2 linked regions of the Daphnia pulex genome follow. The protein of the gene in region 2 interacts with the protein of the main gene of each other region in a biochemical or structural test. Links are inferred from orthologs where the notes say so. Each region holds a gene or a part of one and is shown on either strand. Other genes may lie near its edges. The genes, in order: homeotic protein Sex combs reduced-like and homeobox protein extradenticle-like.

Evidence for each region.
Region 1: the proteins of homeobox protein extradenticle-like (region 2) and homeotic protein Sex combs reduced-like are reported together in a solved structure, tested with the Drosophila melanogaster proteins (2 studies listed by BioGRID, with this or other methods). The link is inferred for Daphnia pulex from reciprocal best matches to the Drosophila melanogaster genes exd and Scr.

What each region holds. Positions count from the first base shown.
Region 1 is NC_060024.1:12,425,556-12,431,578, forward strand, and holds the end of homeotic protein Sex combs reduced-like, read left to right. Parts: intron 1-1,790; exon of another isoform or gene 1,791-1,905; intron 1,906-2,042; coding exon 2,043-2,239; intron 2,240-2,441; coding exon 2,442-2,538; intron 2,539-2,666; coding exon 2,667-2,683; 3' UTR 2,684-4,360; downstream 4,361-6,023. UniProt on the Drosophila melanogaster protein: Sequence-specific transcription factor which is part of a developmental regulatory system that provides cells with specific positional identities on the anterior-posterior axis.
Region 2 is NC_060023.1:11,354,725-11,361,343, reverse strand, and holds homeobox protein extradenticle-like, read right to left. Parts: upstream 3,919-6,619; 5' UTR 3,832-3,918; exon of another isoform or gene 3,742-3,831; intron 3,485-3,741; 5' UTR 3,409-3,484; coding exon 3,238-3,408; intron 3,176-3,237; coding exon 3,034-3,175; intron 2,969-3,033; coding exon 2,718-2,968; intron 2,628-2,717; coding exon 2,437-2,627; intron 2,362-2,436; coding exon 2,226-2,361; intron 2,158-2,225; coding exon 2,058-2,157; intron 1,979-2,057; coding exon 1,827-1,978; intron 1,760-1,826; coding exon 1,700-1,759; 3' UTR 945-1,699; downstream 1-944. Other genes in the region: rhodanese domain-containing protein CG4456-like, read right to left, coding at 1-14, 101-269, 330-452, 542-647; surfeit locus protein 1-like, read right to left, coding at 4,097-4,310, 4,367-4,540, 4,592-4,777, 4,840-4,964, 5,036-5,125, 5,187-5,228. UniProt on the Drosophila melanogaster protein: Transcription factor which acts with the selector homeodomain proteins altering the regulation of downstream target genes such as wingless (wg), teashirt (tsh) and decapentaplegic (dpp), thus affecting segmental identity.

The sequences.
Region 1 (6,023 bases), on a different chromosome or scaffold from region 2:
CCGAGACTACCGTAGTATATACCACTTTGTATCAACATAAACACGTTCACATTTCTACCAGCTCCAACTATTAGCAACAAGTCCTCCTCCATAGGCCTAAACAGCTACACTTTTTTTTTTTTTAAACAAAATCTAACTTTTTTGGGGGTAAATTTCATTCCTGGAATGCGAAAAAGGTTAAAAAAAAAAATCAGATCCAGGTATTTTATTACAAGCCAAACCCTATTTGAGACTCGTGACGTAATAAGACCGCGCTTGCCGTCATTCCGCCGCATAATGATGATGATGATGTGCCAATCAACTGGTCATTAAAGTCTCTTCCAACATCAATCACTCGTCATCTGTGTTGTATAACTATTCCCGCTTGACTCGGATTCAAAGAGGAAAAGGTAGTTGTTTTGTGTAAAAGACGCCGCCAGTGTATAGAAAAACGCGTGCTTGGAATTCAACCAGTCTCTACGCTATCTCTCCACCGGCAAGAAAAGTCGAGCGCCGCATGGCACGGAGCGCACACTCGTACGACTCGAGCGAGGCCTAAAATCCTCCCCTCTTTCCCCGTATATTACACAATAGAGCCAGAAAGACTGTGTTGAGAGTACTTCTCATTCCATCTCCGCCTCCTTGCGACTCCATCAGTGCTCCAGTAGATTAACAGCAAATTGTGCATTCACATCAGCGGTCGCCGACGTTGGAACGTGGGCGTTTATCGGTTCCTCGATAGATTTCCGTGTACAAGTTCCATTGACAATTCTATTCGTGTACCTACGGGACCATAAGCACATAATCTAATTGATAACCCAGTAAATGCACCTTTTTATAGTTTCTTCCCCTTTTCTTCCCAGTTATCGAAAAAAGCCCAAAAATGGGAAAAGTTCAACGTCCACTGTTTCATTTCCAATTTGTTTAGCTCCGACGAAAATTTCCATTTTGAAAACTTAAAAGAAAGAGAGCCCCCCCCCCCCCTTTTTGAGTAAATTTGCAAATTGCTGCCGGACTTTACACAGTAACACACACAAAGCCGCCGTGTGTACTGTTAAAGTGATAAAAGCTAGCCACAGAGGCAAATAAGCAGCAGCAGCAGTGGTGAATTTGAACTATTGTAATGAAAAGGAGCTGCTCAGGAGGGTGAAAGAATAGAACTAGGATAGAAACCGTTTACAATTTCTCATATTTGAGAAAGAGTCTGGAAAAAAAAAAGACTGGGGGGTTCGAGGGGGTGACTTTTAAGACATTGAAATGGAAACCAAAGTTTCCGGAAGCTGGTACTTTTTTTTCTCTCGTCGTAAACGTGTGCGCAGAGGGTCTTATGAATTTCATTTCCCTTCTTTGAAAAGGTTGACAACCCAGCCCCCTCCCCCAACCCCACGTAAAACAAGAGGGAAGAAAAAGTAAGGAGATTGTCACGACCAAAGAAGAAAAAGAAGAAGAAGATGAAGAAACCGAGAGTTTCTACTATAGTTCCAGCTCAGTTTGGTGGTGCAGCGCACCACTCAACCACGTATAACCCGGCATCTTTTTTTGGCGAAGTACCGATAGCGGACGATTGGTACACACACATGCGCCGCAATGAGACACCCAAAACGCTTTCGCCGGCGTGTCCATTCCGAGACTTATAATAGAACAAAAAGATGCAAACCACCACCTCACCCCCCTTTTTTGGTTTTAAAGAGTCCCACTAACAGAACGTTCATGCGCGTCCGGCTGTGGCCGGTGCATGTTGCACAACGTGGGGCATTTACTATTATTATTATTGAAAAAAAAAAACAACCATAAAACGGAAGCGCACGCACCTGTGCGATGTGACTGCGCATTTCCTGTTCTTTCTCTTCTGCCGGTTCAAGTCGTCATCTGATTACGACGTATTGACCGTTGGCTGGAAAAAAACCGACAGACTTTCCGGAAGTTCTGCAAAAGAAACAAAAAAAAAAAAAAAATTGACATTTTAGGCATTTTTCAAATTTTAAACAATTGAGCGAACAAGGGAAAAAAAATTGAGTGAATTAATTGGCGAATTATTTATTTTTTTGTTTTTGTCCAAATAGACGCAGTCAACGCTAATGGAGAAACTAAGCGCCAGAGGACGTCGTACACGCGCTACCAGACACTGGAACTGGAGAAAGAATTCCACTTTAATCGCTACCTGACCCGAAGGAGACGGATCGAGATCGCTCACAGCCTCTGCCTGTCTGAGCGGCAAATTAAAATTTGGTTCCAAAACCGGCGCATGAAATGGAAAAAGGTTGGCGCCGTTACACACTCTTTAAATATAAAAGCGAATAATCTCGTTTGAAAGTATAAGGCGATATATTTACTTTTTGTTTTTTGTTTTTTTGTCTTTCTTGTTTGTTTGAAACCAAACTTTCGCTTTCTCAATTCGTCCCTTCTTTTCTGGCTATCGATTTTTAACGAGCAATTATTCATTTTGATGATGCACGATACAGGAGCACAAGATTGCCACTATGAATATGATGCACCAGCACCCCATGATGTACCACGCTCACCATCACCATCATCATTTAACGATGGCCGACTTGACTGGTAAATAAGACAAGACCCCAAAATCGGGGTCGTGTGCCACAGTTATAACCATTTTGAAAAAAAAAGACGAAACTAAGTTCTAACAAAAAACGATCTACAATTTTTCTAACATTTTGTTCGTTGTACAGGTGATCACAAGATATAGCTAGCGCAGGACGTTGGGTTCTACCCTACTAGTACACCTGTAGGACCCGGCGACTACAATTACCACCAATACGGATCGTCACCAGCCTCCACCCAATAACGGATGGAAAGCCCAGCACAGACAGATCATTAGGAGAAGAAAGATGGATAGAAAATGGTCGACATTGTGTCGAGGCGCTAAACACTCTCTAAGTACTCTAAAAAAAATCTTTGTGTTGCTATAAAAACATTTTTTGCATGTGACTTTGATTGTACAAAATTCTAAACAACAACAAACAACAAGACAAACAACACAATCGACAAGACGAAGAAGAACACTCTCCCGCAAGGATTGTTTCCTTCATCCATAAGAATTCAATGAAATCTTCGATCGAGAACAAAAACTGGCGGCCGCAAACAAGTGAGAAATGAAAAATGAAAAAAAGGCCCCACCCGATGTTCCAGTGTGACTTTGTGTGTGCGGTACGATATTATACATATTCTAAAAACCTCTTTCCCGTTGTTCCTCATCGTCGTCGTACTCTATACTCCTCCTCCTCCTCTCTTCATCTGCCTGTGTAAAAATAATACCGGTATATGTGCAAGTGTTTCATGCGCTGCGTGTGCCCATTGCAAACAATTTTCTGCCACCTCCTCCCCTTTTTTCCATAATTTATTATTATTATGCCATGTGGATGAGTGTGTATAGAGAGCCATCAATATTCATTCGACCCAAAAAAAAAAGAGAAATTTCGGTGGACCGCTGAAGCTGGATTTTGTAAAAAAAAATAAAAATAATGTGACGCTTTCCGATTCATAATTGGATCACTTAACGGTCGTACCTAAGATCGTTAATAATCCACGGGAAAATAAAATGGGAAAACAAAGCAAAAACGAGAAAAATGTATTACAGCTGCGCAAAAACATGACGGCTCACGTTCTCCCTCACCCTTGCGCGTCTGTTTTCGACTCATCTTTATGACTGTCTCCTTTTTCTCTTTCTCTCTCTCTCTCGCTACTTATTGTTCTTGTATTGCACACACTTGCGACAGACACACACAAACAGATAGGGACGGCCAGCTTTCATCTCGTCTTCGATTATACATAGAGTACATACACCCACGTACACTCACAAACACAAACACAAACACACACACACACGTACACACTGGCTGTGTTGAACTGAACTTCTTGACGATGTGCCGACTTGTTTCTCTTTTTGTCCACTTTGCGTTTCTCTCCAGTTTGCAAATTCGAAAGTGTCGTCTCTTTGTTTTCCCCCCCTCTCAATGTCATCATCGTGTTCTGCTTTGAGTTGCCCTTCGTTTGATTGCCAATCGTGTGTGTTGACTTTCGTTGTACGCCGTATTACCATTATTACTATTAAATAGTTGTTTGAAATGTGTTTGTTTTTTTTTGCCGGTTTTTCAGTCCATGATTTTCGACGACCCTAAAAGTCGCAAGCAAAATCATCCTATATAAATGCAAAATTCTTTCTATTATTTTGGTTTTTCACTCCTTGACTCCTTCCCCGCTATTTTGGGTGTGTCCTTTTTTGTTTTACTCTTTTTTCCATCCCCCGAAAAAAAAAATATTATTCAATATTATGTGTGTGTGTATGTATTCATTTTGAGCGTTGTTTTATTGCCCCATAATAATTAATTATAATAATAATAACAATTCCGAGTATCGTGCAAGACATTCTCGTTCTTTCCTTTGCTTCTCGGAAAAACCAACCAAACCGAAATTGAAACGGATCGAAAGCGGAAGGGCAACGGGTTGGTTGTAAATCGACCCTCATCCAGCCGTCGACTATTTCCGTGAAGGCTCCGTCAGCACGGACGCGATTGCTGGGGGTTGATTTGAGCAAAAGAGTAATGAATGGAATGCCAGAAGTTCTACAGGTATTCAGAGACAAATAGAATGTCCCGTCGTACTAAGAAAAAATAGGGAAAAAAACAAAACAAAACAAAAAAAAGAAAAAAGAGTCCCGTGCGGATGCGGTCAGTGTGAGATGAGAGAGCGCGAGCGAGCAGCCAGATCTCTCTCTCTCCATATCGTAACGTCGCTGCGGCCCTGTTTTGTCGTGTGCCCGTCTGTGTATTTAGTGGTAAGACTCTAGTCGCTTTTAAACCAAACAGCAGAAGCCAGAGTCTCGGCTTGTTTTCCTGCAAGTCTGTTTTTACTTGGTCCACTTTCTCATGTGCGCGCTCGGGCCTTGGCTGCACCACAACGAGCCAACAGATACAACCCGTGAAGTTTCAATGCGAGCGGCGACAAAAGTCTCGACGAAAGACAACTCGACAGATGCTGCAGCTACCCGTGTTGGCCGCCTATATGCCACACTCTCTCTCGGCCGAGAAAGAAGAAAACACAATCACCAGGCCGATGACACCACTTGTCTTCCGCTTTCTCTTCATTTGACTTTGTCCTGTTGTGACCAGAGAAACGGAGGGGAAGACCAAAAAATTTCAAAAAATAAAATAAAAACAGGAGCGATCCTGAAACGCGATGACCAAGTGATCACGTTGCTCTTCCAATGTTTGTTGGTCGGTTTATTTTCACAAACAAAAAAATCGTAAAAAGAAAATCCAACCAACATTTTGATGTTTTGAAAGGGGCGTAAAACACGCGCGCACGTAAGCAGTCAGTGTATAAATACGTCGAGATATATATCCTCGTATATTTAAGGAAGTGCTGGGCAGGAAAAAGGAGAAAAACCGAACAAGAACAAGCCCTGCCAGGGTGGTGATGAGTGCCGGCTTATTTGCGGTGCTCCTACCCCTGTTGTTGGACAGTACACAATAACATCCTCAACAACCGCACAAGAGAGAAACATTCACCACGCAACCCGACCATCGCTCTCTCTCTATACATTGCCCTGTTAGATTGCAGCGACGGCGCTTACTTTTCATATTGGATATTATTTGTGGCCCTCGAGACAAAAGAGAAAGAGATCATTTAGCGGGTAAAATCGGATAACCACAAAATAAACGGGAACCGTATTTAGAGATGGAGGGGGTGAAATCCTCCCGCTCTAGATATAATAAAACGCGATGACCAGGAAAGTAATTGATGTGACATCCTATCGTCCGATCAGGAAGAGGATCGCAAAGAGACAAGAGGTTGAATAATTAAGGATGAGACAAGCCGAAAGGGAGACGAGCGCGTCGCCACGACGCCATGAATAAGAAAACAAGAAACGAGAGAAAGAAAGAAAGAAAGAACAAAAGCAGGAAATTCTCATCCATGGCACTTAGTCGTACTTATAAAATCGTATAATGAATCGTTTCCAGCGCGACCAATTTCTCTCCTCCCCCCTCCCTATCCGTCCGAAGACAATCTATTTTCAGTCAGCAAGC
Region 2 (6,619 bases):
CTCCATTATAAATCCTAAAAAATTAATTTATATAAAAAAGTATAGGTAATAAAGGTAGGCAGATTGCTGGAGTTTAATGAGGGAAGATTACAATGATCACCTTATGGTGTTATAGCCAATTTTCTGAAGAAACAATCCAGCTTCTTTTGATCTGATTGCAAACAGGCAGCCCACAATAATGTTATCTGCATTTTTCTCTGGCATGGGAAAGCCATACTTTTGTTTGAAATCTTCAGGGCTCATGGCAAATGCATTGGTTACCTCTGGCACTGTTAATTTCTCAAAATTGAAGTCACTTATTAAAATTAATCTTTCTACTAAATTCTTACAAGGAATGTTGAAGCTTCCTACAATCGTGCCATCCTTTTGCAATTCACTTCTATTACGAACATCTATGTATGTCAAGCTCTTCTTATCTAGTCCAGCTTTCACTGATTCAAAATCAATAGAGCCTGGAAAATGACAAAGAATTCATTCCAAGATTCCAGACAGAACACAAACATTTCTTAACATTACATATTTACATGAAGTTGAATCATACCTAGTTTAACAGCAGCTTCTGAACAATAACGACTATGAAGACAGATATTTGAAGGCATTGAAATTATGTTCACTAAAGCCCGAGAAAAAAGGCGTGCTGATGACATTTTATGCCGTTTATGAGAAGCAAGAACTTTTAAAACAGAAGGTAAGTAGTAGATAATCAAAAACGGTTCGTAATCAAGTTATTTGCGCAGCAAAATAAGTGAAAAGAAAATAAAGAAGTTAGCAGACTACAATACGTCAGAGATTTGCCGTCTGCTACCACTCTTCCACGAAATGCAACATGTAAATCTGCTACCACTGAAAGGCGCTGAGCCGCTGATACACGAACTGCATCATCAACCCTCGGGATGGTTGAAATTTGAAAACATTCAAAAAATAATGAGAAAAAAATAAGAACGTTGACACCTAGAAATGGATGTATTGGTTGTACATGATTTCATGGCAAGGATTTGCGCGGTGAACAGATGAATATAGTGTTTAAAAAGGAGACACGGATTAGTGGAAAATAATATAAAAACGTACCAACGAGAAAGAAATATTTTGAGCTTCACTTCAAAGCGCCAGTCATTTTTTTTATAGGACAGAGGAGGAACTGCAAAATATTCTAATACCAAAAATTGCATTCGGTTCCACCACCATATCAAAAGAAAAGTATTTTTTTTCAGTTAAAACGCAAACTTGATGGGAATTCTTGTGTTTTTTTTGTTTTTTTAGAAATAGGACTCGGGTCCGTGGGATGTGGATTTTCGAGAATACTGATGATCGTTTTTTCGGTGACGGGAGAGCGTACGTGATTGTAATCGGAGATGTTCGGTTCACTTCTAGTTGTCAAATAAAAACGATAACGACTACATCGACGGTTTCAACTATACGCAAAAGCGATTAAAACTACAGAGGTTTCTGAAACAAATGAGAAAAAACAAGCACCGATCGAGGTGATCCACAGAAACATTTTCTATCAAGACGAAACAACAAAGCTGCACTGAGAGGAAGGGACAAAAGAAGGAGTACGAGATGGGTTAGAACGAGTTAATCGAACAGCTGAAGATAGCTTGTAACGCACAGTATGATCAAGATCTGATGAAGTTAGTAAATTAAGAGTTGATTTGCCGAGAAATAGGGTGGAGGAGGAGAAGGGGCACTCGTCCACCCCTCAGGGTGAATTCACTTGATGCATACTTGGATCATAACCCATCGATGAATCGCCATAGCCCTACAAACACGTTTACATTAATTAATATGCTGAGATACCACTAGTTAAGTCATTAAAAGTAGTTTACTTGGCCGCCCATGGAGGAAGGAAAGTCACCACCGTTGAGTCCCATAGCACCGTACGGGCCTAAGGAATCTTGTGGACCCCTGAGTTCAGGACCACCAGGTTGAGGCGACATCATCGGTCCGGGAGTTCCAGCCATACTGTATGGCGAGGAACCTAACGAGAAAGAAAAAGTACGAAAATTAGAATCGCTCCGGTAATACGAGGATTTGAAAATCCTCAGAGTGGAAACAACTACCCGCGGCCTTTTTAGCAGCATACAGGTTGGCCTCCTCTTGGGCTTTTCCAATGTTTTTCTTGTAACGAATTCGTTTGTTACCGAACCAATTCGAAACCTTTTTTGTAAAAATAACAAAACATTAATGCGCTTATTCCTCTTAAAAGGATTTAAAAAGAAATTAACCTGTGAAACGGTGATCCCACATTTACGAGCGAGCTCTTCTTTGGCTTCTTCACTTGGGTAGGGGTTGCTTAGGTGCGAGTAGAAGTACTCATTCAAGATCTCAGAAGCTTGTTTGCTGAAGTTACGCCGCTTCCTCCTACATGATGAAGACATCGATAGAACAACACCTTTAATGGGCGTGGTCAAACCTTAAAAAAATAGCAAAATTTACCTGGCGTCGAGGAAACGAGATCGTAAAATCATAACGGCCTCGCAAGTGCTTTGCTTCAGCTGCATTTGGATGGAGCTAAACTTGCGATGAATGATCTGAACCATCCGCTCAATCTCCTTGGGTGTAATCGGACGAGTACGGGATTGTTCTCGGAGCAAATTCATAACATGGGTGGTGAATTCACTGCAAGCCTGAAAGCGGATGTAAAAATGAAATGGTTATTCTCCATTTTCTTGTCATAGAGGTCCAATAAAAAAATAAGCATTGCTAAAAATGTGTACCTGCTCATATTTCTCAAGCTCTTGATGGTAAATTTGACGAATTTGTGCCAACTTAGCCCTATAATCAGAGTGTTCAATAGCCGAGTCCGACATTGAGCCGCTTTGAGACGCTGCAGCTGATGCATTGGCAGCAGCACCGGCCCCACCTCCTTTTTCAGGACCAGCTACTCCTTCAGCAATCAACATGTTATCCAACCGCATGAGTTGCGGATCTGGAGGCTCCTCTTCTTGCGTGTTGCGTAGCGACAAAACTAAAGTGAGAGCACAATTTAATGTTACCATTCAATCACTTGGATTCATATTGAAATAGGGTTACCAGTTTTCTCTTTGATTTCACACAAGACAGAAAACAAAGCAGGTTTCATGCGATGACAGTTCAGGGTATGCTTGCGTGCTTGGGCTTCATCAAGACTCTGGTCTGTGATGTTCATGATCTGTTGCAGAATTTCTCCAATATCCTAAAAAAAAAGAAGTTTTACTTAAAAGGAAAAAAAGATTTTGGAAATGGAATTGTACACACCTGCTTTCGTCCAGTCATATTTTCAGAGTCTTGGTTCCCTCCATCAAGTGAAGCCATGTTAACCCCAACATTGACTCCGACATTGACAGGAGGTAACCCATACGGTGGCTGATGCATTAGTCCAACCTGGCCACCTGGAACAGGATGCATAAGTCGATTTGGATCATCCATCAAAAGCAATGAAATCTTCCAATGTCACTGCACAAAACGTATTGCCTTCAGGCTACAGGACCTGGCAATAAAGACCCTGTAAACAATGACTTTCCGTTTACTAACATCCATACATGTGATTTCATGAAATGTAAACATAAAATGAAATGTACTAGACACAACAAAGCACTAGTATTGCAAGAAAGCAATCGTAAATAACAAAAATTGGCTTCGGTTAATATAAAAATGCCAACGTCTTATAAAATGCCCAAGGCGACAAGCGTCCGCCATGGAAGAGAAGTTTGCTTGCGTAGCGTATTTCTTTCAATTAGAATAAAAACTTTCTTTACTGACTTGACACACAATTTGAAACCGGGAATTCACGAGTTGTTTAGTATTCAAACAGACTGAATCACATTTCTCAAAGGCTCATAAAATAATTACCAGAGATCGCCGAGATTATCGACGGGACAAAGCAAAAAAGACGCGAGAACGCGATCACAAAGGTAAGTATCGATAATTATATCGGGTAAGCCAATAATCGATGTACTAGAAACTCGCGATACTGTATTTATTTTTTATTTTGAATTTTATTAATTAAAATTTTATTTTTACAAATGAAAACGCAACAAGAGTAAAAATATAATGATGTTTGATGTTAAAATGTATTAATTTGACTTTAACCTCTATGAAGATAAATACATTTAAGTTACATAAGAGGCATTTTCTTGATAAATCGTCGATGCCACAAAAATGCTGTGATAATTGATAATGAATACCACGTTAAAATGTACGAAACGTGTTCATTTCTAACAGTAACAACTGTTTGTCCACCTACAGGTCCATCCGGTACTGTGCTATCAGCGTCCGCGTCAAAGAAAATTGGCGCAGTGTCTAGAAGCCGAGCCATTCCCTCCACATCTCTGTACGCAATATATATGAAGTTATCTAACTTTGCGAAAAATATAATTGTCTTTACCTGAAATGAAACATGCGGTCTTTGGGCTGATTTTGGGGTACAAACTGGGGGCGATTTTCATTAGAGCGGTACACTCCAATCAGTTTTGTTTCGCCTTCTCTTTGTCCATTTAGTCTGGTGAATGGATTCATTTTTTTACGAGGAATCCATCCGCGGTTTACAAGAACTGTGAGACTAAAAGTAACTTGTAGAAAATTGAGAAAATTAACTGTTTGAATGTCTTACTTGGAATCTGATAGTTTAAATGGAGTGATGACTAAATAGCCACTCTGCCCTGAAGACAACATCCCACCACCTTCATTTTTTTCATTTCCAACCAGTGATCTTGGCCCAATGTAAATCTCTTTGTCATGTTCAAATTTTCCATGGAGTTCAAACTTCCGGTATTCCATGTCAGATAGCCCTTCAATACTGTAGAGCATTGGTGTAAATATGCATAAAAGGGTAGAGTTAAAGAATTGTATCAGTCTCACTCTGTAGACTGAAATGGAATTGGTGGTGCAGACGTTCTGCTGGCAAGATGATCAATAACACCAAGTTTCCACTGACGTCTGAAAATCTGCCAGGTCCCAAGGCCGAAAGTGATGGCTGGAATAGCCTACATTTATTGGATCAATTTTTTGTTAAAGAACTATATGTACGTTTTATTTTTAAAATCGATTATCTTACCAATAACGAATAACCGTGAATTCCGATATCTACAGCATTTCTTTGCCCATAGCTTGAGGCTGATCGTCTTACGTAATTTTGTGTACATGTCTGAATAGTAGCAGAAAATGAATGTTGAAAAACACAGTTTTGAAGCTATAAACCAAATTACCTTAATTCTTCTAATTTTCTGAAAATGCCTTAAACTGAGCATTGTAATCAATTTCAATTTAATCTCTTTAGGAAAAGAAAAGGTCTTCACAAAAAAAGTGCAGAAGAGTTTTTGAATAACACTTGAACGATCAGAGACACCTAGCGCATTTTCAGATAAACCTATGGTGAATTGTCAGCTACCTGCGTTAGCAAGGTACCCGAAGGGATATTTGCGATTTTTTTTTCATTTAAAAAAAGAGATCAAAATAGCGTATGACCTACAAAAGTCTAAAAAAAGCTACATTATATTAAATCTAAAAATAGCCTTTTCAATAAGGTTTTGTTCAATTTTAAATACAGAGTCCGTGCTTAAGCAGCATCACACTTTGGTCTCTGAATTTAGAATTCAAACAAGTCAACTGTCAACACTCACAATAACACATCGTCTTTGCTTGTGAAAAAAATAGCAACCCGAAAGAATTTAAGTATTTTACCGATTTTACCCGGAAGTTTTCTTCACCTTTCGTGGTGCCGTGGTTGACCAGGGCGTCGTCTAGGTTTTGTCAACGACATTACCTATTTCTCCTCGCTGGTCGACTGTTGAGTAGAAATTGGGAATTGTCAGTTGTCATCGATAGTCATAGGATTTTCTTCGATTATTACTTGGAAGTCGCATTTAGGATTAGTGCGCCTTCCTCGACACGGAGGTCTTTTCTCCTCTGACACATCGCTCACCGATTCTGCTGATCGTTTTCGATGGGATGAATCCTTTGATCGGCTGTTATATGTCTGAACAACCAGTTCAGATTGCCATTTGTTTTTTCTTCGGTTTTGAATGTGGTTGAAGCGCGTTGAAAGCTTGGCAAACTCGTGACTTTACCGTCCATTCTTCACTGGGATTTTCACGTGAATAAAGAGGCCGGAGAGTGATGAGGTCTAAGTTCCGTTTTTCTTGTCCACAAGGCCTCATGAAATTCAGTTCTTCAGATAAATCTAAATTAGAAATAAAATAATCATTGGACACAAAATAATGCACGTTCGTGGAAAAAGAACCCTATAAATGTTACACACTAAAATCCCCTTAACCTAAACCGAGGGTCGAAGACTAAACAGAAGGTCGGGCCTATTGGCCCCCAGATTTCGGGAAGAAACGTCAAGACATCTATATTCATATCTATTACTTGCTGTGTTCATAATCATACCATACAATAAAAAATTTGTTTGTGTAGTAGTCCTACTATAAATAAATTTTCCTTTTGTCTCACCCAAAGTTTGTTTTACTGCTTAACATACACAGAATTGTTTACTACTAAGAAATAATTAAGTTATATATGCTGTGCTTACAACTTACAAGTTAATTCTGTAATTATTTACTCTAAGAAACTTTGTCGTGCAATACAAAATATTGTTACCTTTACTTCTACTTCTGGATATTGTTACCTTCCATTCCAT